4 linked regions of the Rattus norvegicus genome follow. Each later gene encodes a partner of the first gene's protein in a complex. Links are inferred from orthologs where the notes say so. Each region holds a gene or a part of one and is shown in the gene's direction. Other genes may lie near its edges.

Evidence for each region.
Region 2: the proteins of Mapk10 (region 1) and Atf2 are in contact, whole or in part, in a crystal structure (PDB 4H36), measured with the Homo sapiens proteins. The link is inferred for Rattus norvegicus from reciprocal best matches to the Homo sapiens genes MAPK10 and ATF2. Residues at the interface, in NP_620448.1 of Homo sapiens: Asp150, Ala151, Gln155, Met159, Glu164, Arg165, Tyr168, Val197, Lys198, Ser199, Asp200, Cys201, Trp362, Glu367; in NP_001243019.1 of Homo sapiens: Lys48, His49, Met51, Thr52, Leu53, Lys54, Phe55.
Region 3: the proteins of Mapk10 (region 1) and Mapk8ip1 are in contact, whole or in part, in a crystal structure (PDB 3PTG), measured with the Homo sapiens proteins. The link is inferred for Rattus norvegicus from reciprocal best matches to the Homo sapiens genes MAPK10 and MAPK8IP1. Residues at the interface, in NP_620448.1 of Homo sapiens: Asp150, Ala151, Gln155, Val156, Met159, Leu161, Glu164, Arg165, Tyr168, Leu169, Tyr171, Val197, Lys198, Ser199, Asp200, Cys201, Trp362, Asp364, Glu367; in NP_005447.1 of Homo sapiens: Pro158, Lys159, Arg160, Pro161, Thr162, Thr163, Leu164, Asn165, Leu166.
Region 4: the proteins of Mapk10 (region 1) and Sh3bp5 are in contact, whole or in part, in a crystal structure (PDB 4H3B), measured with the Homo sapiens proteins. The link is inferred for Rattus norvegicus from reciprocal best matches to the Homo sapiens genes MAPK10 and SH3BP5. Residues at the interface, in NP_620448.1 of Homo sapiens: Lys121, Asp150, Ala151, Gln155, Val156, Met159, Leu161, Glu164, Arg165, Tyr168, Tyr171, Val197, Lys198, Ser199, Asp200, Cys201, Trp362, Asp364, Glu367; in NP_004835.2 of Homo sapiens: Val341, Val342, Arg343, Pro344, Gly345, Ser346, Leu347, Asp348, Leu349, Pro350.

The regions. Positions count from the first base shown.
Region 1 is NC_086032.1:6,799,741-6,806,839, forward strand, and holds the start of Mapk10 (mitogen-activated protein kinase 10), read left to right. Parts: upstream 1-2,553; 5' UTR 2,554-2,944; intron 2,945-7,099. UniProt on the Homo sapiens protein: Serine/threonine-protein kinase involved in various processes such as neuronal proliferation, differentiation, migration and programmed cell death.
Region 2 is NC_086021.1:79,198,178-79,205,289, reverse strand, and holds the start of Atf2 (cyclic AMP-dependent transcription factor ATF-2), read left to right. Parts: upstream 1-2,544; 5' UTR 2,545-2,684; intron 2,685-2,816; exon of another isoform or gene 2,817-3,217; intron 3,218-7,112. UniProt on the Homo sapiens protein: Transcriptional activator which regulates the transcription of various genes, including those involved in anti-apoptosis, cell growth, and DNA damage response.
Region 3 is NC_086021.1:98,815,374-98,822,712, reverse strand, and holds the start of Mapk8ip1 (C-Jun-amino-terminal kinase-interacting protein 1), read left to right. Parts: upstream 1-3,015; 5' UTR 3,016-3,232; coding exon 3,233-3,303; intron 3,304-4,314; coding exon 4,315-4,420; intron 4,421-6,581; coding exon 6,582-6,890; intron 6,891-7,339. UniProt on the Homo sapiens protein: The JNK-interacting protein (JIP) group of scaffold proteins selectively mediates JNK signaling by aggregating specific components of the MAPK cascade to form a functional JNK signaling module. Required for JNK activation in response to excitotoxic stress.
Region 4 is NC_086034.1:6,600,985-6,607,523, reverse strand, and holds part of Sh3bp5 (SH3 domain-binding protein 5), read left to right. Parts: exon of another isoform or gene 1-783; intron 784-3,433; exon of another isoform or gene 3,434-3,701; intron 3,702-4,240; coding exon 4,241-4,405; intron 4,406-5,027; coding exon of another isoform or gene 5,028-5,120; intron 5,121-6,539. UniProt on the Homo sapiens protein: Functions as a guanine nucleotide exchange factor (GEF) with specificity for RAB11A and RAB25. Inhibits the auto- and transphosphorylation activity of BTK. Plays a negative regulatory role in BTK-related cytoplasmic signaling in B-cells.

The DNA.
Region 1 (7,099 bases):
ACTGAAATATGAAGGTTGAGGGTTAAAGATTTAAACAATCCTACCTTTCTCCATATCAGGTGAGCATCCATTACTCCTAGACACTAATTCCATTATGAATGGAAATGGTTGATTTTAACCTATTCGTGGCTGTAATCCTTTGTGAAATTCTACTACACGAGTATACAATCGTTTATTTATTTGTTCTATGGACACACTGTTAATTACTTGTAGTTTACTTACTTATTGCAAGTGAAGCTGGTATAGCATTTATGCGCAACATTTTGTGGGCGTGTTTTTATTCCCTTGCAAGAATACCTGGAAATGGAATTGTTGAGTCACACTGTAGGTGTCTGTTTATCATGATGGAAACCTTCCGACCTGCTTCCCAAAGTAGCTTTATCACTTTCTATTCTAGCCAGAGAGGAAAAGAGCTCTCATAGACCTGCCGGTATGGGTGCTTTTAATTTTAGCAATTTTTGTAGGCCTGGAGTGGAATTTCTTTGTGGATTTAATTAGCATTATTTCCCGATGACTAGTCATGTTGAATGCCTTTTCATGTACATATGGACTATCGATAAGCCTTCCTTCAGGTGTCTGTTGAGGTCTTCTTACTCATCAAACATCTTTGTTCTCATCACCTGATTGTAAATGCTCATATAATCAGGAATTTGTGTATATTGAGTATATTTTCACAGGTATGTCAATATTTTCTTCTAGTCTGCTTTCTCACTGATGACTGTGGGTAAGTAAAAGCTTTTAATGTTGATGAAGTATGCTTCTCTCCCCCCCCCCTTTTTTTTCAGAGCGAATACATTTATTTGCTCTAAGAAATCTTACTCTACCACAAGATCAGAGTTTTGTTTTTCATTTAGAAGACACATATTATTTTACTAGCTTTACATTTTTTTTAACCCTCACATTGCGGTACATATCTTTTCTTGACTTAGTATTCATTCAGAGTGCGGGGTAAGAGCTGAAGTTCAGTGTCTCCTTGTCAATGTTGAGTTACTTTTGACTTTTGCTACAGAAACAAGTTGGGAGTGCTACATGGTGGCAGAGGGCTTGTTTAGCCGGTGTAGGCCTTGACATCTGGTTCCTAACACAGAAAGGGTGGGAAGAGAGAAGCAGAGGAGAGAAAGGACATTCACACCAATAATTTAGAAGCTGTCTATTGTGAAGTTGTTTGCCTGTCCATCTATAGTTTTATACTAGGAAGCCGTATAAGTAGACCAAGTGGAAAGTAAAAATTAATAGTCAGCTACTGGTTCTTATCGAACTTGAATTCAAAACAAAGAAACAACCAGAGCGGTGTTGGGAGTCCTAGAGTGAAAGCTCACCCAACCTCTATTCCCGAACTTTCTTCTTGGGTAACACAGCACAGAGACAGCGAACCCGACGTGGTTCCTTAGGAATTCAGGACGTGTCACAGGGTCTGCCATCTCTTTTGGCTTTACACCTGCTTTATCATCTTCATCACCCCATGACAGAAGCTCCTTGTTCAAGTCAGCGGGCCAGTTCCAAGGCATGGTGTGGAAACTGGCATTTTAGCACTACTTGGTTCAACAGACTGGAAACCCATCTGAAAGGTGTTTGAGAAAAACTGGCATTGAATCTCATTGTGTAGCTTGAGAAAGTCCAAAGACTAGGATTACTTTCGAAATATGTATTGAAAAGATGGCTTATGTGTTTTGGTAGACATTTTAATAGTGCAAGTGCTCTGTGGATCATTCCATCAAGCTATCATATGTACATACATATATATTGTGTGCAATTCATATATATGAATTGTATATGAATATATATGCATTATATATATAATTTAAAACTTATAGCAAAATCAGAAAAGCTGCTTACAAATGAAATATGTAGTAAATGCATTTTACATTAGTTTCCCATGGAATTTTCTGCCAGCAGAAAATGAGTACCCAGTACCCTAATTTATTAACTCAAATTGTCAGTAGTTTCTTTCTACCTTAAACTGCAGTATAAACACCAGTCTAGCGAGTTTGCTTTAATGGATATTTATGCAGGGATTTTACAAAATAGGAAGACAGAGAAGTGGAGTTGGACAAATGACCTCTGTGTTCCGGGCGCAGGTCCAATCTTGCTTCCCTTCTGAGGTTGAGTCCATCTCTTGTTTGTTTTGACATTCAGAGAGATGGTACACCTCTGTCTTTCTTCACTGTTTGCAAAAAGCTGAGGTAGTTGAAAGACGAGGGCGACTGGCTTCCCAATGGCTTTTTGATCTGCCCTTGGTGCTGTGCAGAGCTGGAGCGAGAGGCAGAGAAGATGCTTCTTGGCTTTGTGCAGAATCCCTTCCACCCCATCCCCCGCCAGCGCTGAATTTGCAGATCGCGGCCGCCACATTCCCGTTCCTTTACATTCCGAAGCCTGCTTCTCATTTTGCCAGAAAACGAGGTAGCTGTAGCCACAGATAGACTTTTTCCTTTTTCTCTTTCCTCCTCCTACCCCTCCCTAGACCTCTCTGGGCTTTGACGTCATGTGTGCTCCTTTCAGTTGCCATAGCAACCCCATTCCCCAAGCCCTCTGTCCGTCTCCTCTGGTAGGCTCCACAATGGTACAGGCAGCCTCCCGCTGCACAATGGTTTCCAGGCAGTGAGAGGGTGATTCAGCAAGCCGCTCTCTCTTCTCTTAAGCCTCCTCGTCTCCGTTTATTTTTATGGGGGTGGGTGGTGCTTCTTATATGCTTACCCTTTTTTTTTCTATTTTCATTTTTACATATTTCCCTTTTCTTCCTCACTCCTCAATTCCTAGGGGCTTGAGTGAGCTAAAGATTGGGTCTTCTTGGAAATCACCTGTCTGTTATTATTTTTAAACAATCTCTGCACCTCCAAAGACTCTCCTCCTTATTCCGGTTTGGAATGTGGCTAATGAAAGCCCAGTAGGGAGGATTTCTGGGGCAAACAGGCGGACCAGGATCCTGGTTCTCAGGCACGGAATGGTAGGTGACTCCTTGCTCATTCTGGGTTCTAACCTGGTTTGGGAGGGTGGATGATATCTGTCATTGCTCCTGGTGGGATGGGAGAGAGCTTGAAAAAGTAGGAAGTGAGGGTGTTGGAGAGCCGGTCTAACGAAGCGTACTATCTCTGGGCAGGAAGACTGGCGTTCTCTCTGGGCAAGCATCTCTTCTCAGAGAGATGCTGAAACCTTTCTGTTTGGAATGAAGGATTCCAGAAGGTGGGACAGACCGTTATTATTATGACTTGGCAGAGTAAAAGAAACACACACCAGGGTGCAGAAAGAGAGAGGAGAGAGGAGAGAGGAGAGAGGAGAGAGGAGAGAGGAGAGAGAGGAGAGAGAGAGAGAGAGAGAGAGAGAGAGAGAGAGAGAGAGAGAGAGAGAGGCTTGCTTAGAAGTCTGGATCTCACTTTTATCTGAGAAATGTTATGGGTCTCATAAAAACATTCAAAAAATGTCATTAGTAAACATAAATGTTTATTTCCAGACTGGTTTAACTTAAATATTGCAGAATAGATTCATAGAGTTTAGAGGTCTTTACAAATATATTAGAACTATGTTCCTCTGGTAGAAAGACCCCGAGTTAAATCTGGGCTGCAGACAGGAGCACAGAACAGGGACCAGAGCAGGGAAAGGAGCAAACACTGGCACTGCAGGCGGGCAGCCGCCTAGGTGAAGGTCCCTTTAAGAAAGTGATCTTCCAGTCACAGCGGGCAGCGTTTTTCTATGGCAAGGTTCCCAGGTATTCTGTGCTGAGATGCTGTGTCCCCTAGAAATGTCAGAGCATTTTCAGAAAGGAAAAGGAGCTGCCACTGGAAGAGAGATGATGATACAGCTATCAGAATTTATATGTTTGTGCTTCAGAGGATAAGTGTGCTTTATTCGAAAACCTCCAAGTAAATCAGGCTATGGATATTTCAAGAAAACTATATATATATATATATATATATATATATATATATATATATATATATATATATACCTTCCACCATTTAAATAAGGGACTAAGGTGCTGGTTTGACTTCCTTTTGCAGATAACTTTCAAGGGCATTGCAATTTGGCCACAAAAAGGAATGTATTACCCCAGGGCTGTAGGTTTTGGAGCAGCCACAAGGTTGTTTACATGGTCTGCATTTACTGCAGAGCAATATGTCTGCATGACAGAGATAACTTTCACGAACACAGGCTAAGTCATATGGGACAAGCCACAGCTAGGAGTGAAGGAAGGCTAGCGTTACCAGGCACTACCTGTCCAATTTCTGCCCCTTTTTAATGCTGCTTTTCTGGGTCCTGGACCGGTTTGCAGAATGCTGATCAACATATTTAAAATGGTTGCGGTAGCAGCCACTTCTCTCAGAGAGGCTTCAGTAGACGGCTGTCCTCAGTGAGCATGTATGCACAGGAGCCATGCTCATGAATGAATTCACGAGCTTCCAACTCCACTTTGGGATCATAGGGACTTAGGGCTAGAACAGTTTGATGTAGCAGTCTGGCTGCTTCTGGTGTGTGCCTCCTTTCTTTCTTTGAAAAACAAGAAACAACAAACAAACAACAAACCTTGGTCTTACCCTTCAAATTGACACAAATTGTACAGCTTATGTATCTACTTGCACTAGAAAGGATCGTCTTTTCCCCACAGTGGGACTAGAAAAGCAGATGAGAAAGGTGGTTTGACCTTAAGTGTGAGTTTCCCGCTTCCTCATTGGCTTCCCCTTCTCTCCGGTCACGAGCGGCTTTCATTTTCAGGACGGAATCTTTGCAGTTGTAATGAAAGAGGGTCCTGGTGACTGGGAAGCCCAAACTACCTGGGGAGTGGCGAATTCAGCTGCCTCCAGCTTCCTTCCTGCCGTCCCTCAAAACAGCATCTGCTAGGGGAGGGGTATGTTTGCATGCCGGAAGGGGCGATTCCCCCAGGAACTGAGAGTGCTCTCTCTCTGTCATTGTCTAGCGCATCTGCAGCTAGTACTACGGCTTCATAGTACGTGGTCAAGATGTTTCAAGGTTAAGAGGAACTGAGCGGTGATATGGATGCTATAGAACGTGTCATTTTAAATCTACAGCAAAACTCACTCACTGTCAGTGTGTGCTATAGGAATATCGGAAGCAAAGGAGATTTGCCTAATGTAAACGATCGAAGGCACGTACATATATTAAAAGTTATATCCTAGCCTCGTGTGAATGAACCTGTTTCTTTCACTGTGAGCCTAGCCACGAAGGCTTTCCATCTTGATGACAAGATAAAGAGCAAGGGAGGTTTCCTTGTTTGCTAAGTGCGGGGCTCAGGAGTGTTTGCTTCTTGCTCCAGAAGCTGACCTCAGGTCACATTTGTAGCCAGAGGCAGGATGTGGAGCGGAATGGATGTGAGTTAAGCCAAGCAAATCTTTGGTTGCTCGTCAGGAAAATGGGCTGCTAGCGAAGGCTTCCTGCAATCTGTAGGAGAAGCAAACGCGCCCACACGGAGAGGACCTCATTCCCGTTCCCCTGCTTCCTGTACGGTTCTTCCCAACGTTCTTGCTTGGCCCAGTGGCAATCTTGTCTAGAGGGGCGCAGAAGTGTACAGTAGGGTCTAGAAAGAAGCACAGCATTCTCCTTGCTGCAGGCATGCCTGTCCAGGAGGTCCTACCACACAGGCACCTGCTACTGCGGCCCTAGGAGGTCCTACCACTCAGGCATCTGCTACTGCGCCTTCTCCGGAGCTAGGAGGGGAGGGCTCGTGGGGAAAGCGGCCTACAGGCTCCCGGGAGGGAAGCTGCATCAGTCAAGGCGAACCAAATCCATTTGTGTCTTCAGCATATTGAGAATATTTATTGCATTACATAATCTTGTGTTGAGACTTGGTGCTGCCGATTCGGGTAAAAGGGCTTGCTGCATGTTGTGTGAAGAGAAATTGTCTTCCAGAACAGAGCTTGCGTGTGTTAGTTCCTCCCTGGAGGCTTTGATACTGAAGTTCAAGTGTTTTGAGCCAATGCTGCCCCCGACCCCCGCCAGCCCCACAGTTTGAGTACATTTCAATCCATGAGCTAATTAAAGTACAGAAAAGAAAGTTAAAAACTCTGACCGCTGAGGACCATTGTTTCCCCCTATGTTTAATGTTGTAATAGTGAATCTTGGTAAAATGAGTGGAAACACCAGGTAACACTGAAAAAATCTCTGGCTCAAACTTGTATGTTTGAGAGCAGTTTCCAAACACACCTATTTTCAGTAAAGGATTTCATAGTCTTATTGACGTTTTGGACCCACAACAAGCTACTTTGGCCTTTCTCACCCTTCTTATCCCTGGTGCCTCCAAGATACAAAACCTACAGATTTCATAAAATAATGCAGGTGGGAATGGAAACCCAAGTTCTGTACAGAAAAATAAATGACAACCAGCTCCTGTGGAATTATTCCAGTCACAGTCTCTCAAATGCTCTGAGACTGTGATTGAAGGTGTAGCCATGGCACAAGGCACCAGGCATGGCACAGGACACCAGGTATGGCACAGGGCACCAGGCATGGCACAGGGTACCAGGTATGGCACGGGGCACCAGGTGTGGCACGGGGCACCAGGCGTGGCACAGGGTACCAGGTATGGCACAGGCGTCAGGCATTGCTAAGCAGCTTGCACAGTAAGAGAGAGGATTCTACTCAATCCTCCCCTTACCCCTCCCCCTTCTCTCCTGAACGTCAGGAGTAAGACAAAAACATAAACAGCAGAGACTTAAAAGCACTGGAAATGAATGCCAGTGGGGTTCCCTCACAGAAATAAAGTCCTGGCGTGTGGCTAGTGGCCTGCCTGTATGTACTAGACACTTCCTAAGTGTGGGATCTTGGAGCCATTGTTCTCTTTCTGTGTGGAAATGGGACCTGAAACCACAGAGTGTAAAAGCAGGTTTCTAGGTCTACTTACTTGGCTCTTTTTACTCTGTGTCTCGGCGGGGGGGTGGGAGGAGCCGGGGGTGGGGTGGGGGTGGTGGGGGAGCTTCCCTCTTCACACCAATTACCTCGCCCGACAGTAATTTCCTGTGCTTTCAGATACTGTCTTGTTCATCCTAGCACACAGTAGGCACACTAGGCACACAACAGGTGTCTGTCAAGTGGGAAGTGCTTTGCATAGAAGACGGTGAGAGGGGCTTCAGCTGTCGGAGTTGATGCTTGT
Region 2 (7,112 bases), on another chromosome or scaffold:
TGGAGACAAGAATTTCAGTTTTTACCCCAGGGGTGGTGGTGGTGGTGGAGGTGGAGGTGGTGATGGTGATGGTGCACATCTATAATCCCAACAGAGGCAGAGACGGACAGATCTCTGTGAGTTCAAGTCCCACCTAGTCTAAGGAGCAAGTTCCTGGATGGTCAGGGTTACATAGTGAAAAACAGAAACAAACAAAAAGTTTCAATTTTAAAATATACATGTGGAAAAGCAAAAAACTTGGAAATGTATCAAGACTTAAAGTTCTTTAGAAATGCTTTAACATTTTTAGGATTTTTTTTGTTGTTTTGTTTTGTTTTTTTCTTTCTCCCATTAGATATTGTCAGATGGGGGAGAGCAGCATTCTAGTGAAAGTTTTCTGAACCTAGCAATTTATCATCTGGCAGTCCTACATTTTTGTCTGTCATCCTTCCAACCAGTAATCCGAGCAGATGACACCTTGCTGATGTAATTAGTGGTTAAGTAGCCTAACATTCCTGCAGTGTTCCTAATGTTACAGGATGGTACTTTCCTTCTAACTTCAGAACCAACACTGGTAATGATCTGGTTTCTTTCAGGTTTCTCAAGTAATTAAACTAGCTTTAAAGGAAGATTGAGTTGGCTCACACACACGTGTACAGGCCAGGAACCTATTAAAAGGTCCGGTGACATTACAATCTCACATCATTAGATTGCAGGCTCATTAACTCGAAGACGATATTCCCGGCAAACTTACAATTTTAGTTTCACTTGGTGTGGAGAAATTGAGTGTATTTTATGTAAATACACAAATCGTATTCATAAATCTAAATTAGAAATAAGCATTTAACAAATGGAAAAACATACTAAAACCAAGGCTTGCTTTTTAAAAATTAGTGCAAGACTTCACAGGTGCTTTAATCGCATTTTGCAACTTGTACATATTTATTGGACAACCAATATCCCTAAAATAAGCACCAAAATCTTCACTAGGAATAAGTATGTTTAGGAGTGGACCTGAATTAGCTATAGACTCGTAAAAGTCTGTCTCTTTCGTCCTCATTACACTAATCAGCCACTCTTTCTTCTTGCCTCCAGTCTTAAGGACATTACTTGTTGTGTTTCAGTGTTTGCCTGCATGAACGCATGCCCACAGAGGCTGGAAGAGGTTGTTGGATCCCCCTTTGTGAGCGACTATGTGGTGATAGGAAACTAAACTTGGGTCCTCTGCAAGAGCATCAAGCGCCCCTAACCACTGAGCCATCTCTTTAGGTCCTCCCCGCCTCTGCCTCTCCCAGTTTTTGAAACCTACTTGGTAAAATTAACAGGCATATCTTTGGCACTACAATTTACAAAGTAAAAGGAAAGTATTGTGGGAAGAATGCTGTTCTCATTGGCGCCCTTTAGTCCTCTTTAAAACATTAATACCGATTTCTTAAGCTTTAAAAGAATGAAACGATCCTATTGAAATTGGTATTTTTAAATTATTTCGGTCTTATGTGCATTGGTGTTTTGTCAGGTCTCCTGGAAGTGGAGTTACAGACCAGTGTGGGTTGCATGTGGGTGCTGGGGATTGAACCCAAGTCCTCTGGAAGAGCATCTAGTGCTTTTAACCGCTGAGACATCTCTCCAGTCTCTAAAATTAGTATTTTTATATGTAACTAAGTAAAGGAAATTTGAGAAAAGAAAATCCCATAATTCCAAGGATTTTTCTCCAGGAAAAAGATCGTTGCTTTGTTTTAAAATATGACATGGGATTGGAAGACGGTGTATTTCCTTCTGATCACTGCCTTTGAACATACTCGTATGTGCTGTAATACACCATGTACTTGACGCAGGGTGGGGGCGAAGATCAGCTCCAGTTCTGGCTTCGTAAAATCCAAACAAAGACCTCTCTGAGAAAAGGTTTCTTTTTTCTACACAGGGCTGACTTATTTTGCTTCACTCCGCACACGGGGTGATGACTGCCAAATCCTTTCTCCAAAACCTTTAAGCGTAGCTCCCCGGCTCTGGCTTCTGGGTATTCGGAGGGTGGTTCAGAAGCGTCTCCCTTTATATCCCCATATCCCTAGAGAGGCCGGAAACCAAGATGAAGGAGACACCAGCAGCCGGGGCTGGGTTCCTTTAGATTCCCCCGACCTCACCTTTCTTCTCTCACACCGCCCACGCCCTCCTGTACTCTCCACCGCCACCTGCGCGCGCGCCCCAGATCCGGTACCGCCTCCGGTGCCCGCCTCCCTATGGCTGCCAATCACAGCTTTCTGCAGTTCCCTGGTTACGGAAACAACGGTCCTTGGGCACCCTGGCCACGCCCCTTCGGAACTTCTTCCCGCCTTTCTTGCTCTTCGCCCAATCACTAGCGTCCGAGTGTTCTTTGGTTCCCGCCTCCCCGCCCCCCGCCCTCCCGAAGGCCCGCCCTTTTCCTGGTGTAGGACGGAGTCACCTGACCTGCAGGCGCTCCTTCGGAGGAAATCAGGAAGGGGCGTGTGCGTGAAGGGGAGGGGCGCGAGAAGAAAGCGGCGGGGATGCCGGGAGTGGGGCGGGGAGAAGGCTTGTCAGTCGGATCTCGCGAGAGAGGACGGAAGCCTGTGGGAGCCCGTGGCCTTTAAAGTGCGATTCAGCCCTTTCCTCCGGGGCTAGTTTGTAAACACGGCAGCGCTCCGGGCTCGCTGGTGGCTGAAAGGAACATGAATTAGTGACCTGGAAAGGTGAGTAATGGTGAAAGGGCCACAGGCTTGGAGGCTGTAGGGAGACGGAGGAAGAAGGTGCTAACATGGCGACGTCGCTGCCTGTAGTCCCCACCCCCCGCCTCCCACCCCTTTTGCGCCCCTGCTGTGGACCCCAACCCTCCGGACCGCTGTAGCCGCGCCTCCGCCTCAGGCCTGGCGGACCGACCGGACCGTTAGGTAACGCGCTGGGGCTCCGGCCCCTCCCTCGCGCGCTTTCCCAAGCGTGAGCGAGAAGGAATAACGGCTCCTCTCAGACCCCTCCCTCCGACTTATCCTCTTGTGTGGTCACTTGCGAGGTCCCCAGGGCGCTCTTCGGATCCGCCCATCTGACGGGGAGACCCCCACCTCAGGTCCTTGATCGGGCCGCCAAAGGGCCAATGCTGGGCTCCCCACCGGGCACCGGGCGATTGTGGACCGCGGGGTTTGGGATGAATCCGCGGTGACGGATTGGGGAGCTTGACTGAAAATCTGGCCGGGGTCTCTGGCCTCGGCGGAACATGACGGAGCCAATGGTATGGAGAACCTGGGGGCTGGTTGTCTCGGCCTTTTCTGTCCTTTCTGCCACCCTCATACTCTCGCCACCCCCCTCCCTTTCCAGGTGGGGCGGGGCTGAGGTGTGGGTGCAGGTTGATTCTGCTATTTCCCCCCATTCACTTCGACGGGTGTTCTGCACAGCTTTTGCAGGGAAATAATCTGCCTTGTATTACCCCAGGGACAAGGAAGAGAGGGAGGGAGGGATGTGTGTATGTCTCCCCATGGCGCTCACTCATTGAACCAAGACCTTGGAGGAGATGGGCATTATTTTTATGCAATAGGTAATATAAAATTGTCTCTTCTTAGTGGAGTCTCTTAGAACTGAGGAGGTGGAGTGAAACTACCACCAACATAATGGAGTAAAAGGGATTACTCATGGTGGACCCTTAGGCCTGTTGACTAATACCTAGATTACCTTGTGGAAGTCACAGTTTCTTGGGGATTATAAATTATGGACACGTTCACACCACATGCATGTAATGCTATATTTGAAATCTGACCAAACACCCACTATTCTGAGAAGCTTATTTTGTCCAATTTGAAGGAATTCTTAACCCTTGGCCATTGTCAAGTAATAACCTTTCCAGGAATACTACTCATTAAGCGCCAAATGGCCTGGGTCTCTTGCACCCAAATTGTAAGACTTTATAAAAGCTTATTTTAAAACAGTTAATTCTAGATGACTTCCTGAAATAGAATCTTGTATTTAAATTTGCTAAACCTATTTGAAGAATCCCTGCAATAAACTTTTTTCAAAAGCCAAGAGATTATTTTGTAAAGCATTCTAAAAACATATCCTATATAATTGGTCAAGAAAACTAAGTTCATAGATCTTTAAGGCCATTGATAGTGTTGAGTGATAATTAAACTTCTAGGTCTTAAAAATCATTAATAAGTAATTGCAGAGATGTTTTGATGGGTATTTAAATTTTTAAAGCTGTATTGTTTTGAGATGAATGATACTATCCACTAAAATCATGACTAACATTAAGTCAAGAAATCTAGGGTTTTTTTTAACTTTTAAAAAATCTTGAAAACTTGAGTTTTAATTATTTATCTGTACTCTCCTAATCAATTATATTGCTAGGTCTAGTAAACAGCTTTACCTTACCTGCTGTTTCCACTCATTTTTGCCTTTAGGCTCTTCCAATGTGTGTGTTTCTGTGAACTGGTATTTCTTTTATTACTCTTATTAAAATGCCCGTAGAAAAGTAAATAAATCTTTCATATTTAAAGCAAAATTTTTACTGAAATCCTCCTTGATTAGAATTCAATGAAGTAATTAGATAATTCAACTGACCTCTATGAAAATTATTACATATAATACTCCCAGTATTAACTTGTAACCTACAAAACCACCTGTCCTTATATAATCAATAGTTTAACATTTTGTCTTATATTCACATCTATTTCTTTAGACTGAAATTTTGCCTGAAATGCAACTTGTTCTGTTTGTTTTTTTTAAGGTTTACTTATTTTTGTGTTTTGCTTACATATATGTATGTGCACCATTTATGGGCAGTGCCCTTAGAGGATATTGTAAATCCTGAGTCCCTAAAACTAGAGTTACAGATTACTATGAACTACCATGTGGGTGCTAGGAACCTAGCCCAGCTTCCCTGCAAGAACACAGGAGCTGTTGAGCCATCCTAGTCCTTTGTTTGCTTTTCTACCCGTGCTAGGAAAGCTCTTTTCATTTATTTTTTTTTTTCAGACATAGTTTCTCTCTGTAGTTTGGCTATACTGGAACTTGCTTGTAAACCAGGCTGGCCTCCACCTCATAAAGATCCTGCCTACCTCTACCTCCCAAGTACTGGGACTAAAGGTATGCTCTTTTTTATTGAGGTCTACGTCCTCAAAACCTCTGTGTAATTTGTTTTTATTTTTACATTTGTGTGTGTATATATGCTTGTCTGCCTTCCTGCCTTGTGGATGATAGCATATTTATGGAGATTAAAGGACAACTTTGAGGAATAAATGTTCCCTTTCTCCAACATGAGTTCTGAGGATGAACCCCTGGTCATCAGGCGTGGTGGCAAGTGCTTTACTTACTGGACCATCTCATTAGCCCTATATGTAACTCTATAATGTTGAAGAAATAGTGATCACCATCATTATTATTGTCTTGGGGAGGCGGGAATTGTAGAAAAACACTTTCTTTGTTCTGTTTCTCAAAGTTAAAAAGTTAAAACAAGGTATCACTTCATAGAAAATGGAAGAATGCATGAGTCTTTAAGGCCATTGGTAATTGTATGTATGTGTTTTATATTATATAGATATGAAATATACAATTATAAACTTGTATGTGATGTATATGTCTTCACTTTTTTTTTTAATTGACAAACCTAAAACTGATTTTATATTTTCACTTTGAGATAGGGACTGTGATGCTTACTTTGTTCTTTTTGGCATTTTGGTAATCATAAAGGAGGGATTTAAATGTTCATTTTATTTGTTCAGGTATATGTGTATAATGTGCTTGTACTGGTATGTGCATACTCCAACTTGGGTTTGGCGGTCAGAACAACTTTATGGAGGTGGTTCTTTCTTTCTACCTTACATGCGTTATGGGTATTGAACTCAGGTTGTCTGTCAGGTTTGCATGTCGAGTGCTTTGCTGGCTGAGCCACATCATTGCTTCTAAAATAATCAATTCTATTTCTTCTCTTCCTCCTCCTGCTCCTTTGAAGTGGGGGGTGGGGTAGAATGGGGGAAGGAGGTGTGACTATATCTTGAGGATGTAGGTATATTTACTTGGGTTCATATCTTAACTGGTAATTGTCAACCTTTTTCTATATTAATACCCAAGAAATTAAAAAAACATCAACAAGACACTTGAAATATAGTAGTGAGTGACTAGTTACCATGAGATCATTGAGAAAGTTCTTAGAGAAACAGAATAATTGTACTTGGCAATTAGTAAATGGATGTGAGTTAATTTTAGTATATGTTTATATTCATCTATACCATTTGCTTCTCTTTTTCCCTTTTTTTTTTTTTTGTTATTTTTGGTTTTGTTTGTTTGTTTGTTTGAGACAGGTTTCCCTGTGTAGCCCTGGTTGTTTTGGGGGTCATTCTGTAGACCAGATGGCTTCAGACTCAGAGATCTGCTTGCCTCTGCCTCCTTAGCTCAGGGATTTAAGGCATGCACCACTTTTGATTTTTAAGTGTGTTCTCTAAACTGTTTTCATTTTGTCTTGTGGAACTTTGCATTATTCATTTAGTTTTACCTGTTACTAGCATTATAGTTTTCTATTATATAAGTTTTGTGATGTTTGATGATTATGTACAGTTAACCAAGTACTTAAGCCACATTTCTTGATATTAAATGCCTAAATGGAAGAAATTGATTTCAATTTTCGCTATTTATTTAGAGAAGATGTCGCTCTGTAATTCAGGCTGCTGGAACTCATGGCCTCAGCCCCATGGCAGGCTTGCATCAGCCTCCCAGATCCTGGGATTACAGTCATCAGCTACCCTGTCTAGCTAATTTTTAATAAATTTATTTAGTTTTGAAGACAGGATTGTGTGTAGTTGCTCTGCTGGGTTTTTTATTTTGTTTTTTCCTCCTTCTGGTTATAACATTGAACTAATAAATATGTTTTTGTTTTTATTTTTTTGAGACAATGTTTCACTGTGTGAGTAGTCCTGTATTTTTCTGTTGTATAAACTATGTAGTATTTGCTACCATTTTCTTCCTTTGAATTGATTCTATAAGATAGTAGACTCAATGGAGTTACTTATCAGAGGATATAAATATTTGTGGAGTTGCCATGACTTTTACTTTCTCCCAGAAAAGAGGTAAGCTCACATTGATGTTTTAGGGTGAGTGTCTTACCTTTGACATCATTTTGTCAACTTGGTGGTCATGAT
Region 3 (7,339 bases), on another chromosome or scaffold:
AGCCACCAGAAAGGTATAGTGTCCTGTTCTAAGTCAGAGGAGCTCTGGGGCTGGTAGAGCGGTGGCTAGGCAGTGGGGTGCCCTGGGCACCTCTTGGAAGCCAGCTCTGTAAGATTTAGGGCTGTGAGGACAGGCTGGACCCCTGGGTCTCAAATAGGCTTCATCATAGGGAGCCCACAGGCCCATGGCTAGCCCTCTTAACTCAGGAAGCTGGGGAGCGAAGGCTCAAGTGTGGCTTCTGACAGCCTGGCTGCAGTCAGCATTACTCAGTGAAGGCTCCATGCTGTGCTTGACCCTCACTTCCTGTGCATGGCCATCTCAGCCTGTATCTTGGCTGAAGGAGTGAAAGAGGAAGTGAGGGAAGCTGGGACTGCTGTGGGGAGGGATGCAAGGACAAGGGAACCAAGGCAGCAAGGCAGTGTGGAAGTGCATGTGAGTACCTGGAGCAGGATTGCTTGGACCATTAGCAGAACCCAGCCCAGGCCAGGCCAGGGTATGGAGTGTGGTGTGTGCTCCAGGTCACAGCCTAAGCAAGGTGTGGCTGGAGACCAACACTTTGAGAGGCTGTGTACTGCAGAAAGACAGACGTCAGAGTCAGGCTGGCCTCCAGGGTCACAGGGCCACCAAATGTGGCTGTGCTATGTGCCTAGCCAACATGGGCAAGTAGGGCTAATGGGCGAAGTGCTTCTGCCCTGGGAAGCTGCCCAAGACCCAACCCCTAGGAAGAAGCTGCCACCCTGCCAGGGCTGCGCAGTTCTCCTGGGTCACCTCCCAGGTCAGGGCTCATACTTCTAAGAAAATGGCTTGGGCGAGGTCAGAAGAACACTCCCCCCCGCCCCCGTCTTCCCAGTGCACGTGCCTACCCTCCAGCTTCCCTGCCTCTTTTCTTCCTTCCCTACAGCTGGTATCTGTGAACACGGAGTTGCAAGTCCCTTTCTTCGGCAAGTGTCTCTTGGTTCTGCCCAGGAGATCTAGACCATGGTGACTAGGGGAGAGTGGGTGGCAGTAGAGGTCAGCCCTTGGCCAGTTCTATCCCCTCCTAGGTAGTGACATCCTCCCTCCTTTGTAACTCACATGCTCCATCTTATCCTGGGGTGGCCAGGAGGAAGGGAACTGAGGTTTACAATACCGATGCCTGAGGCTTAGGGCACCTTATCCATGAGATGGCCCAGAACCCTATTCCAGGGTGGTAAAGAAATGTAGCACATGGCAGCTTGGAAGAAGAGTGAGACACTTCAGGCCTGACATGATGTCATCCCATGATGTCACCCTGCCACCTCAAAGCACCCCAAAGTAAGACTAGGGTAAGAACACCATGGGTTTTAAATGGATGAAGTGTGTCATCCCTGATACTTCGTTCATGAGTGAGTTTGGGAGGGAGAGAAGACAAGAACACGCTCCCTGCCCTCAACGGAGCTAAGAGTTAATAGAAGGCTCCTGACCAGAGCCCAGAGCCCTTCTCACCTTTGCCCCACTAACCTGGTCTGGTCTGGTCTGGCCCCACTCAGTCCTGTTGTTTGGTGGACTGGCTTCTTGGTCCATGCCTAGAGGACATGGATACACAGACACATCCTGTGGCCATGTAGAATCCTTAGACCACTGCAAACCCTTCAGTCTGAGAGGAAGGGTAAGGACTGAGGCTGTCCTGTGGCCCGCACCTAGCAAGTATCTACTGAGCCTAGAGTGTGTACCTGACACCTCACCAGACCTGCCCTCCAGGAGCATCCGGTCTAGATGGGAGTCAGGAAGGGAAAAATACAGATGATGAGGGGGATGTACTCCACCCAGCTTTGTAGTCAGGAAGTGTAGGGCATTTCTTTTTTTCTTTTTTCTTTTTTTTCTCAGAGCTGGGGACCGAACCCAGGGCCTTGCACTTGCTAGGTAAGCGCTCTACCACTGAGCTAAATCCCCAACCCCAGGGTAGGGCATTTCTGATGGATGGGTCAGGAGGGCTTCCTGGAGGAAGGTTTCTCTGAGCACTGTTGGGGCCCAGTACCCACCCTTGGGAGGCAAGGCCCAGCAAACAGTAAACATACAAGGCTGAGTCTCCCCCTTGCAGAGTCCTGGAGGGTTTTTGAGTGAGGAAAGAAAGGATGGTGGTGTCCCTTACTGTCTCATGGCCACAGGAGAGGTCAGAGGGGGAGAGGGGAGACTGAGGCTGGCAGTCAAGGTGGTGTAGTTAATGCAGGAACTGGACCAGGGTTTGGCAATAAGGAGACAGAGGTGTGTGCAGACACCAGTGGAGCTGGGGGCATCCGAGGACACTCCCAGAGAAGATGCCTCGTGGGACCCAGGAACTCAGCCATGCTGTCTGAGTCCCAGACCTTACAGTCAGACTGCACTTAGGGTTAGCCACAGGGCCAAGAGGCCAGACTGAGGAGGGTGCTCTGGCCTCTGGACCAGTCCCCATGTCATTTCAGTACCAGCTAGTAGCCACACCCCCCAGCCTGAGAACCTGCAGCTACCCTTGGGGTCAGAATCTTCCAGGGCAGTTGTCACTAGGGACCTCCATGTTCAGTCAAAGTCACTCCCAAATGACTCCCAATCCTGCGTCCAAACTAGTGGTACCCATTGCTGTCTTCCTGCGCATCCTTCCAGCCAGCACCAATCCCTGAACCAACCGCCCTGGCCCTGGGCTTGCAGAAGCCTCCCAGATGCGGTGTGGAGGCGGAGCCTGTGTCTGTGTGGAATCAGGTGTCCATTCTTGGGGCCCTTCGGGAGCCCCTTCCATCTTCTCATTTGGCACCCTGAGTGTGGCGCTGGCCCTTTAAAGCAGATCGGGGTCTGGCGTTGAGGGAAAAAAATTACCAGATTTCTGCTGTCTGCTTACATGCCTGGCCTTGGGAGGGAAGGGGGGGTCACTCCAGCCCCCAATAGGGGCATTGGAAGGGCAGGTGGAGCCAGTAGCATTGATTGCAGTAACCTGATCCCGCGGGGGAGGCGACGACATCGTTGCGCATCGGGCTGCCAAGGAAGGAAGCTGCCCGCATCTGAGGGTTGGGCCAGGAAGAGTTGGGGCTGGGGCCTGGGTCGGCAGCTGCGGCCTCCTCTCTGGCCCATCTATTTTTAATGAGCTCCCCGGGCTTCTGCAGCCGGCAGAATGCAGAAAGGCAGGCCCAGTCTGTGGAGGCCAGAAGTCCCAGCCCTGCCTTGAGCTCTGGCCCCCCTACCCTTCTGGGCATGAAAGGGCAGCTCTGGAGCCCCGCAGCCCCCTGGCCGGGCAGGGCTCTCCATGCAGCTGGTACTGAAGATGGATTCGAGCCCAGACAATGACAGCTGGTTGGAGGATCAGTGGGAACGCTGGTAGGGTCCTGGGGCCTGGCCTCAGGTGGGGGAAGGGCGAGTTGTCCGGAGGTGCTCTATTGAGCTCAGGGGCCCTGTTCAGACTGAGTGAGGTAGAAGACAGAGGTGCGAGCCTTCTAGGCTTCCCTGGGAGCTGCACCCTGTCCTTCCTCTCCTGGGTGACCTTGGATGAGCTTGTGTACCTCTGCTGTGTGCCTAACCTCCTGGTCTCTGGGAAAAGGCCCAGGCATTCTCTCCAACTCCCCAGATGTCCCATTTATACTAAGCCAGACAGAGTACCAGGGTCAGAGTGAGCCGGTGCAGGGGACAGGTCAGCACCACAGTGGCAATCTCAGTAGTGCATTCCAAGGTAGGCACACAGGGTAGCCTGGGCTCCTGGAAGTCTGTTAGTGGTCTAGTACCAAGTGCTCTCCATGGCCACTCACAAGACCTAGCCTTGGTCTTCCCTGACCCCATTTGTTCAGGGTCCTTATACCAGATGAGATTGTATAGTTGAAGAGATGACACCAAGAATGTTGGCAGGTCCCCCTCACTGTGACCATGGCTCAGTGGCGTATATCTTTGTGGGTGAGAGAAAGGGGCACCTACTGTGCCCTTCTGGTGGCTCCTTGGGTCTTGTTACTGTGGAGTGCAAAGATTTTCCTACTCTGGTACCTCTTGGGGGTTGAAATGGCCTTGGCACTGCCTTGGCCATAAAGGCATTTCTCCAGTAGAACTGAAGGTCTGGACAGTTGGGCCTTCTAGGACTGCCTTCTGGTTGGCAGCCGGATGGAGAACTCCCAGCCGGTGATGCTGGAGAAGCCTGGAGATGCCTCCTCCGCCACCCTAGGTGGAATGCCTTTTGGCTCCAACCCCAAATCCTTCCCCTGCCACTGCGCTGACAGACTGAGTCCTTCATCTGGGAGCTGCTACCTGCCTCCCACGGTCTTCCCCTGAGAAGAGGGAGAGGCCAGCAGGCTTAGTTGGGGCTTAGGGGCCCTGGGTTGTGACTTTGGTTTCTGTCCCCACTAGGCTCACCCATGATATCAGCCTGGAGGAGTTTGAGGATGAAGACCTTTCGGAGATCACTGATGAGTGTGGCATCAGCCTGCAGTGCAAAGACACCTTGTCTCTCCGGGTAAGGGCTGGGTCTGAAGAGTCTGAGTGGCTGGGAGGATGGGCACAAAGATTAGGGAACCCCGCTATTTACAAAGGAGCTTGTGAGTGTGTGTGGCACTCCCGGGAAGTGAAATAACAAGGTAGGAAGCATCTAGTATAATGCTTGACACATCTTGGGTGCTCAATCCAAAATCTCCATTTATTATTTTTGTCAGTACTAAAGCCGGAAGCAGCTTCTTCAGTTGTTCACAGGGAAAGAGAGCAGGGGGCTTGAGATGTAGGACAGTGGCAGTGAGGACCAGAGTGAAGGGAAGGGCCTCTCATGAGCTTCTTGGCAGAGGGCCTGCGACAGTACTGGGTGGAGCCTGGTGGAATCTGCAGTGCTTTGGGGCAGGAAGGAGGAACCCGGGTGCTGCTGGACTAGCTCCTGTGACTGCTCCTGCACCCCCCTGACCACACCGCCAGCATTTTAGGCTTTCAGTGGCCCCTGCTGCATGGTTGGTCCAGTACTGGCATTGCTCAGAGCCCCTTGGCTTTATCCTAGTGACAGGCTCTCTTCTGTATATCTGAGTGCCAAGGTACCCGGGATAGATGGGAATCCCCATCCTGTTGTCAGAACACAGAGCAAGGACTTACCTGCAGGATAGGGAAGGCAACGGCACAGGGCTAAGGATCAGAGGCCAGCACCAGGTGTAGTTGAGTTGCTAGATATGGCATTTCCATGGTGTGAACCAGGGAAGGGCATTTGTCTTAGTGTTGCCCTCCTGGTATCCCTAGCACTTTTACAAACTTCCAGGCAAAGGGAAAGCAAGCTGTGAGGGTGACTTTATGCTTCCCAACTCCTTCACTCTCTTACCAGGCCAGCAAGGATGGAGGCAGAGGCTACTACTTCTGGGTTTAGAGAGTGGTCCCAGAGATGGGTCATACTTGCTTTGAACTTTAAAACCACTGTCTCCCGGGGTTTGGGGATTTAGCTCAGTGGTAGAGCGCTTGCCTAGCAAGCGCAAGGCCCTGAGTTCGGTCCCCAGCTCCGAAAAAAAGAAAAAAGAAAAAAAAAACAAACAAAAAAACCCACTGTCTCCCATATGCAAAGCTTTCAAGAGGGTCTAATGCAATTAGCCAGAACTATCACCTCCCCCTGCCCTGGTAGTAGGCTAACTAGAGTGATCTCCTGGTAGGAGTCTAGTCAAAGTTTCTCTCTCTGTGTCTCTCTGTCTCTCCTCTTTTCTCTCTCTCTCTCTCTCTCTCTCTCTCTCTCTCTCTCTCTCTCTCTCGTCTCTCTGTCTCACTCCTCTCCTCTCTGTCTCTCCTCTCCTCTTCTCTATGTCTCTCTGTCTCTCTCATCTCTGTCTCACTCTCTTCTCTCCTCTCCTCTCCTCTTTCTCTCTCTGTCTCTCTGTCTCGCTCGCTCTCTCCTCTCCTCCTGTCTCTCCCTCCCTCTCTCCCTCCCTGTCTCTCTCTCTCTTTCTCACCTGGAGGACAGCATTATAGGCCTAGTCAACTCTTGAGGGTTGACTAGTCAAAGGATCTGTCCAAGGTGCCAGGAGTTAGAGGCAACAGTGGAAGTAGCATACAGTTCGGGTCTATAAAGGATAGGTTGGCTGAGGGATGTGTTCAGGTCAGAGCTGACTGGGAAGGTCTCCCCTTAAAGTTCCCCTTCGGGTCCAGTCAGGGTCTCCTGCCCGCAGTGCAGTCTTCCTTACCTGGCTGACATGCACTTTCCCCAGTTTGCTTCAATGTCCCCTTCAAATGCCAGTTGTCTCGCTCATGCTCATCCCCATTGGGGACGGAATTCCTGGGCGACCCCTAGGTCTCCATGGCAACAGCGGTGATTTCACTCTGGGCTCGGCTTACAACCCGGGTGAGGTCACTGGCCGTTACCAAGGGAACGGAAGGGTGCAAGGAATCCGGAGGGGGGACCGTGGGAGAAGAGAGGCGTGGGCGGTTCTCTGCGCTGGCGGCGTAAGGATCCGGCCTCCGGGGGGAGGAGGAGTGGCGGACGGGAGCGGCCCAGTGCTTCTGTCTCTGCCTGGCTCCCAGTGTCCCACCCCTTGCGGCCGCGAAATGGACTCGTCCGATTGAGGGGCGGGGCACCTAGGCATCAGACCCACCCCTCCTGCGAGACCCCTCCCGCGCTCACAAGGCCCCTCCTCTGACTCCCCTCCGTCCGCGCCGCGCAGCCCCCGCGCGCCGGGCTACTGTCTGCGGGTAGCAGCGGTAGCGCGGGGAGCCGGCTGCAGGCGGAGATGCTGCAGATGGACCTGATCGACGCGGCAAGTGACACTCCGGGCGCCGAGGACGACGAAGAGGACGACGACGAGCTCGCTGCCCAACGGCCAGGAGTGGGGCCTTCCAAAGCCGAGTCTGGCCAGGAGCCGGCGTCTCGCAGCCAGGGTCAGGGCCAGGGCCCCGGCACAGGCAGCGGAGACACCTACCGGCCCAAGAGGCCTACCACGCTCAACCTTTTCCCGCAGGTGCCGCGGTCTCAGGTAAGACGCAAGCAACCCTGTGCTGAGAGAGGGGGCGGCGCCCTGCGTGGACAGGGAAGACGGAGGGGCGCGGGGCTGTTGGTGACGCCGGGTACCTAGGCGCGCCATGCCTGGGGTGGGACAGGTTTTCTGCTGGGAGGGATAGAGGAAGGACTTGACAAGGAACAGGAAAGTCTGTCCTGGGAAGGACTGAATCCAACTGTCTGGGTATGGAGCCTGCACTGCTAGGGATTTGAGTGGGGAGAGTTGCAGAGGACTAACAAAGGAGTTGAGGTCCTGCAGTTAGGTCCTCTTCGGGTTAGTGCTTCTGTGAAGGTTGAGGCAGCAGCAAGGCCTGGAGAAAAGAGCCTCCGAAATGGGATGAAGGTGGGGATGGGAATTCTGGGTCTGTCTCCAGTTGGACATCTCAGCAGCTGGACATTCCAGAAGGCAGCAATAGAGTTGGGGTG
Region 4 (6,539 bases), on another chromosome or scaffold:
TCTGTGTGTGTGTGTCTGTGTGTGTGTGTCTGTGTGTGTACCCTGGGTCCCCTGGAGTCACAGGTGGCTGTAAATAAACTCCTGACCTCTGTAAGAGCAGTAAGTGTGCGTAACCACTGAGTCCTCTCCCCAGCTCTCAGGTTCATTCTTAGTTATTAAATTCAGCTTCTGGGCTGGCCTGGACCATAATTTTGAATGAATGAATGAATGAATGAATGAATGAATGAATGAATGAATGATGAATGAATGAATGAATACAGGGGTTGGGGAGCTGACTCAAAGGATAAAGTATGTGTTACTCGAGTGTGAATGTTGGGTGGGTGTGGCAGTCTGCCTGTACTCCCAGCTCTTGAGGGACAGGATCCGGGAAGAAGCTGGGCAGCTAAGCTAGATGAATTGATGAGCTTTAGGCCCGACTGAGAGATCCTGCCCCAGTTCTAGATAAGGTGGAGCCATACAGGAGATGCCCATTGTCAACCTCAGGCTCTACCCACGTGCCCAGACCATACAAATACACATTTGTGCACACATAACACACACACATGCCACAAACAACAATAACAAAACCCCACAAGGCTGGGTGTTGATGGGAAGCAGAGAGGAGGACTGTGCCAAGTTCAAATCCAGCCTACTCTACACACCCAAGTCCCAGGCCAGCCAATTGTGTCTAACGGGACCTTTAAAAATTTAAGTGGGATTTGACTCATCTTTGTAGTCCGTACTTCAGGAGGGCGAGGCAGGAGGATTGCCTTGAGTTTGAGCCCAACCTCAAAGAAGCTATCTCAAAAATTAGATAGAGGGGCTGAGGATTTAGCTCAGTGGTAGAGCGCTTACCTAGGAAGCACAAGGCCCTGGGTTCGGTCCCCAGCTCCGAAAAAAAGAACCAAAAAAAAAAAAAAATTAGATAGATAGATAGATGATAGATAGATAGATAGATAATAGACAGACAGACTAGATATAGATAGATAGATAGATAGATAGATAGATAGATAGATGATAGACAGACAGACTAGATATAGATAGATAGATAGATAGATAGATAGATAGATAGATAGATAACAGACAGACTAGATATAGATAGATAGATAGATAGATAGATAGATAGATAGATAGATAACAGACAGACTAGAGATAGATAGATAGATAGATAATAGACAGACAGACTAGAGATAGATAGATAAATAGATAGATAGATAACAGACAGACAGACTAAAGATAGATAGATAGATAGATAGATAGATAGATAGATAGATAGATAGATAGATAGATAGATAGATAGCAAATGAAAGAAGGGACAGAGAGATCGCGTTTTAGAAAATGTTAGGGTCCCAGGGGATGAGCCCGTGTCTCAGAGCTGTGGAGAAGCCGCAGGTAGACTGAGGTTGGAGGGATGGATCACAATTCATCTCCCTTAAACCTGTCCAGATTTACTCTTCTTGGACCCGTCTGGAAAGATGGAGGCCCCAGACTGTTCTTGTGGCAGAAGTAAGAATGGGCAGGGGGCTCAGCTGGAGAGAGAGTCGGGTTGTCAGTGCCAGACAGTTACTTCTCAGTGGCTGATCGGTTCTAGAGAGGGTGGGCATCCCCATCCCTATGTGTGGTTCCTGCTACCTCAGTGGATGTAGATGGCTGGTAGGGGGCATTCATTGAGGCTGTTTTATTTTTATTATTATTATTATTATTATTATTATTATTATTATTATTATTATTGAGGCACGATTTTGCTGTATAGCCCAGGCTGGCTTTTTTAAATGCTCCTTTCCAGTCATTATCAGATTTCCTACAGACCCTGTCTCATGGTCCATCTTTGGAGTCTGACCTCAGGCGCTCCCCTTGACCTCCCTCCATCATCCTGAGTTGCAGCTCCTGCCTGCCCTTCAGGTCTCTCTTTAGGAAAACTTTGCTGGGTTTCCTCTTATGTGAAGCAAGTCCAATTCTCCTGCCCTGCACATAGCCTTGCACATAGCTTTCTGCACATCAGCTACATGTGGGGCGCAGTCCCCTGAGTGGATCTCTGTGGGCTGGAGGGCTGGGACTGTGGCTGTGCACAGACCAGAGTAGCGGATGCCCGTCTCGGGTTACCGTGGGTTACCGGGCTGTTTCTTCCCCCAGGGCTGTGGTGTTCTCAGCTTCTTCGTTTCTTTTCCCCTTAATTTTCTTTGCAAAGTACCCACAGTCTACGTGAAGACTTCCTCTGAGTCATGTGAGACTTTCTCTGGGGAAGGGTGGGGCCCACTTGTTCCCCTCTTAAGTCCCAGGGGCTGTCCTGTGGGTGTCCCACCAGGGTTTTCATAATTGGACTCAGGGAGTGGTACTGGGGCTGATTAGCATGTAGCCATGCCCCGCCCCTGGCCAGACAGGAAATTGGATGTGAGCCCGAGAAGAGAGGTCAGCAGTGTGGCCCCACTGACTGCTTTTAGGGGAGCGTGCTACAGAGCATGTGTGGACATCAGAGGACTGCCTCAGGTGTGGGTCCTCACTGACTACCTTGTTTGAGATAGGATGTGGCTATGTTTCTGCATTCACCACACTAGCCGCCCTGGTCTGTGGGCATCTGGGGGATTCCGCTGTCTCCGCCATCTCCCTCCCGCCCTGGAGCACCAGGTTTCAGAGGCATGCTAATCGGGTCGGCTCTGTGTGGACTCTGGGGACTTAGACTTAGGTCCTCACAAGTGCATAGCAAGCACTTTACCTGGGAGGTGTCATCTTCCCAGCCCTGCATATGATGCAGTCACATCACTCAGCCCACTCTTGAGGGGGGAACACCAACAGCCCTAAAGTAGTAGAGAGTCACCTACGAGGAAACAAACAGATGAGATTGATTTCAGTTTATCTTAGTTTAGTATATCTCACATCTCATCCATCTGAAAAATGGCAATGGGATAACCAACATTTTTCTACTGAGATTTTAAAATGAGGTGGATATTCTTTTGGTGTGTGTGCGCACGCACGTGTGTGGTGCATGTATGTATACTCACATGTGGCATACATGTGAGCATGTATGTACTCATGGCTATGTGTGCACATGTGCTTGTGGGTGAGTGGGAATCAAGAATCTTCCTCAATCAATGGTCCGCTTCAGTTTTTGAGCCCGGAACTCTTCAGCTAGTCTTTCTAACCAGCTTGCTTCAAGAACCGCCGTCCTCATTTTCTGAGCTGGGGCAGCTGCCACACCTCCAGGCGTTTGTGAGCTTTGGAGATCTGAGCCTCCGGTCCTCTCGCATGTGTGGCAAGCACCTCAACTCCTGAGCTCTGTCTAGGCTGTAAGGGATGTTTACATTTTTCGTTAATCACATTTAGATGCTCTGGGGTTACATGTTGGCCTGAGACTTTTTAAAGTGCTGGCAGTGCAAGCATCTGGACCGAGTTCCCAATCCACAGGACCTGCGTAAGAAAGCCAGGCCCAGCAGTAACCCCAGCAACCGAGAGGTGGGTGGATCCCAGGGCTCACAGGCAGCAGCCTAGCCTCACAGGGGACTTCCTGCCAGTGAGAAGCCTTGTCACAGAAAACAAGGCTCCCGAGGAGTGGTCTTCAGTGTTAACGTTAGGTTTCTCCATGTACACACGTCCACGGACATACACGTCCTTGTACGTACATGTCCACGGACATACACAGGCCCGGCATACGCTGTCTGCCGTAGATAGGAGCACAGCTGCTGTGTGCGTTTCCCTTCCTTCTGAAAGCAGGACGTGTGCTCTTGGTAGGCCTGGGCCTGGGTGTCAGTGTGGGCTGAGAGGGCTGCCTGGCAGTGGGCTGCTAGGCTGGCAGTCGTGTACTGGGGTGTTTGCCTGGCCTGGAGCCTTGTTTCTGACCAGCTCTGCAGTCTCAGGAAAAGCTGTTTCCAGCTGCTAGGCCTCATCTGCAGAATGGGGCCTATAACTGTGGTCTCTGGAGCACTCTGGGCTGTGACGTGCAGGGAAGATTCCCAGGACTGCTATGCCCACCTGGGCTTCATTCCTAAGCCAGGGCATCAGAGAAAGGCCTCATTAGCCATTGGCAGCACAGATGCAAGGTCTGTCGAGCTCCAGACTATGGAGGCTGTCTGCTCACCAACCTGGTATTCACTCAGCCATCGGCCTCCTGTAACCCCATCCTGTGCGTGAGGGACTTCCCTGTGCAGCCTCCAAGAGGGAGGCAGAGGTGGATCAAATCCTGGGCCACTCATCTCTGGGGGTGGGGGATGGACCCAGGGACCCCCGGGCTTCACCTCAGGCCTTACAAGACCTTCTCTCTCAACAGGCTCAGCTAGAAGCGCAGAAAGCCACACAGGACTTCCAGAGGGCCACTGAGGTGCTCCGTGCAGCCAAGGAGACAATCTCCCTGGCCGAGCAGCGGCTGCTGGAGGATGACAAGCGCCAGTTTGACTCTGCTTGGCAGGAAATGCTGAATCACGCTACTCAGAGGGTAGGTGTGGCCGTGTGTGCTGGTGCTGGGGACCCAGGCCTACAGGCTGTTCTTTGACTCCACACGAGAGTAGAGGTAGCTTTCTGGGTGGCATAGAACCCTCCTGTACAGGCCATGGACTCTCTGCCTTATGTAGTGTGTTGGCTGGCAGGGCTTTAAGCCACCAGTGACAGGTGGACATAATCTTTCTCTGTATTGCCTTAAATGTGTCCTCAGGTTCATGTGGTCCACCACTGTCTTGGCAGTGGAGTTGGGTTTTCCAGAGGGGCCAGGATGTTCTCCAAGGTTGGCTTCATGACCTCAGAAGGACTGCAGGCCCCAAGTGGAAGCCCAATTAACACTTTTGACCTGCCACTGGGTATATGTTGGTGGTGGGTGAAGTACCCAGACTGGAATAAGTGGGTAGACCCTCAGGAAGGGCCTTCTGGGTGAAGCTTGCGTCTGGGGAGTAGCGCTCTGTAGGCAGGAGCTGGGAGTGGTTGTCATAAGGGCTTTACGTCGCCATTATTTGGCTCTTGACCTGTTCCCACCTTGCTCAGAATTGGAAGTGATATTGTCTGGTCCAGGCAGACTAGTAAACAAAATACTGGCTGACTTCAAAACAGAAATACATCCCTCACAGTTCTGGAAGCCAGGAAGTCCAAAGCCAAGGCTGATGTGTATGCTGTCTGATGAAGACCCGTTTCTGGTCCTCAAAGGGCTCTCTCCTCTTAAGGTAGCAAATGAGCCTTCTCAGACCTTCCTGCCCGTCTGCTTGCCTGCCTGCCTGCCTGCCTGCCTGCCTGCCTGCCTTCCTTCCTTTCTTCCTTCTTTCCTCCCTCCTTCCCTCCTTCCTTCCTTCCTTCCTTCCTTCCTTCCTTCCTTCCTTCCTTCCTTGTGCTTGTGCTAGGGATCGACCCCAGGCCCCTTCACACTGTAGGCAAGCACTCCAACATTGAACCACAGTGGGGCCCCACCCCTCTGGTCCCACAGCATCACTTCCCCAAGGCCCACCTCGATATCCACACTGGGGACATTTCCATTCCAGCAGGTAGAGCCGTGTGCTTGACACTGTGGCATTGGGGTTTACTGGGATCACAGGATCCACTTCCTGCTTCCGATTCGGCTTCCGATTCTTGGTCCCCTTGGCCCTAGCCTGTCCTCCCTGCAAGGCCAGTGTCAAAGCAAGGCTGGGGGTTTGCTGTGGGTCAGGCCAGTGAGCTGCAGCCCCTGGTGGAAGGAAGGCTCAGGCTCAGCTTTGGCTTCAGTGAGTGACAGGAAGACTGTCTGTCTGTGGGGTAGAAACGAGGTCAGGAGTCAGTGCCAGTGGCTGTTCCCTTGTCAGTGTCCCCTGTCACAGTTGCTCAAGTCCTGGGGGATCTGATGATTACAGATGGCCCCGAGTGTTTTTAAATAGAAAAGCGTGACATACAAATGACTTCAGGAGTCAGATCTGACTGGACTTCATACCAGCTCTCCCTGTAGCCGGGGACACATGCCTGTGGCTTGGCTTGGTGGCCTTGAGCCTCCTGCCCTCTAGTGGGTGTGATGCTTGTAGCCCCAGTAAGGCTGAGAAAAGTCTCACTGGGTCAGCTGTAGACAAACCAAAGAGGAGGTTGGAAATCTTGCAAAGCATGACCAGACAGATGAGAAGATCCAGTTAACTAAGCACAGGCCGCGGGCCACCTTTCATTGCATCCTCGTGCCCTCCAAAGCGCGTAGGAGGCCATTCCAGAAGTCACCAGATGTGCCTGCTTGTGGTGGTGTATGCCTATAATGCCAGTCAATAATGCCAGCCAGGAGACTCAAGGCTAACCTGAGCTACATAGGAAGACCCCATCTTTTAAAAAAGAAGAAAGAACCCCCTGGATCTGTTATTACGAAAAATCCACATTTTAGTCAAGGGGTAATGGTAGTGGGTGGCTGCCCACAAAGAGGCACCCTGAGACCCTCACACTGCACAGAGCACCATGTGTGAGCCTTTGGAAGCTGTGTTCTGGGTTTGTGTGGTGAACACACTGTGGAGCTTTACAGGCTAGCCTCAGACCTCCTCGGGTCAGCGGGGGCTTCAGTGGCCTGTGGGCCACCTGACCTTAGCCTCTGGCTACCAAATGGAAAGACCCAGCATCTGGTTTATACGATGTGGTGGCGGCAG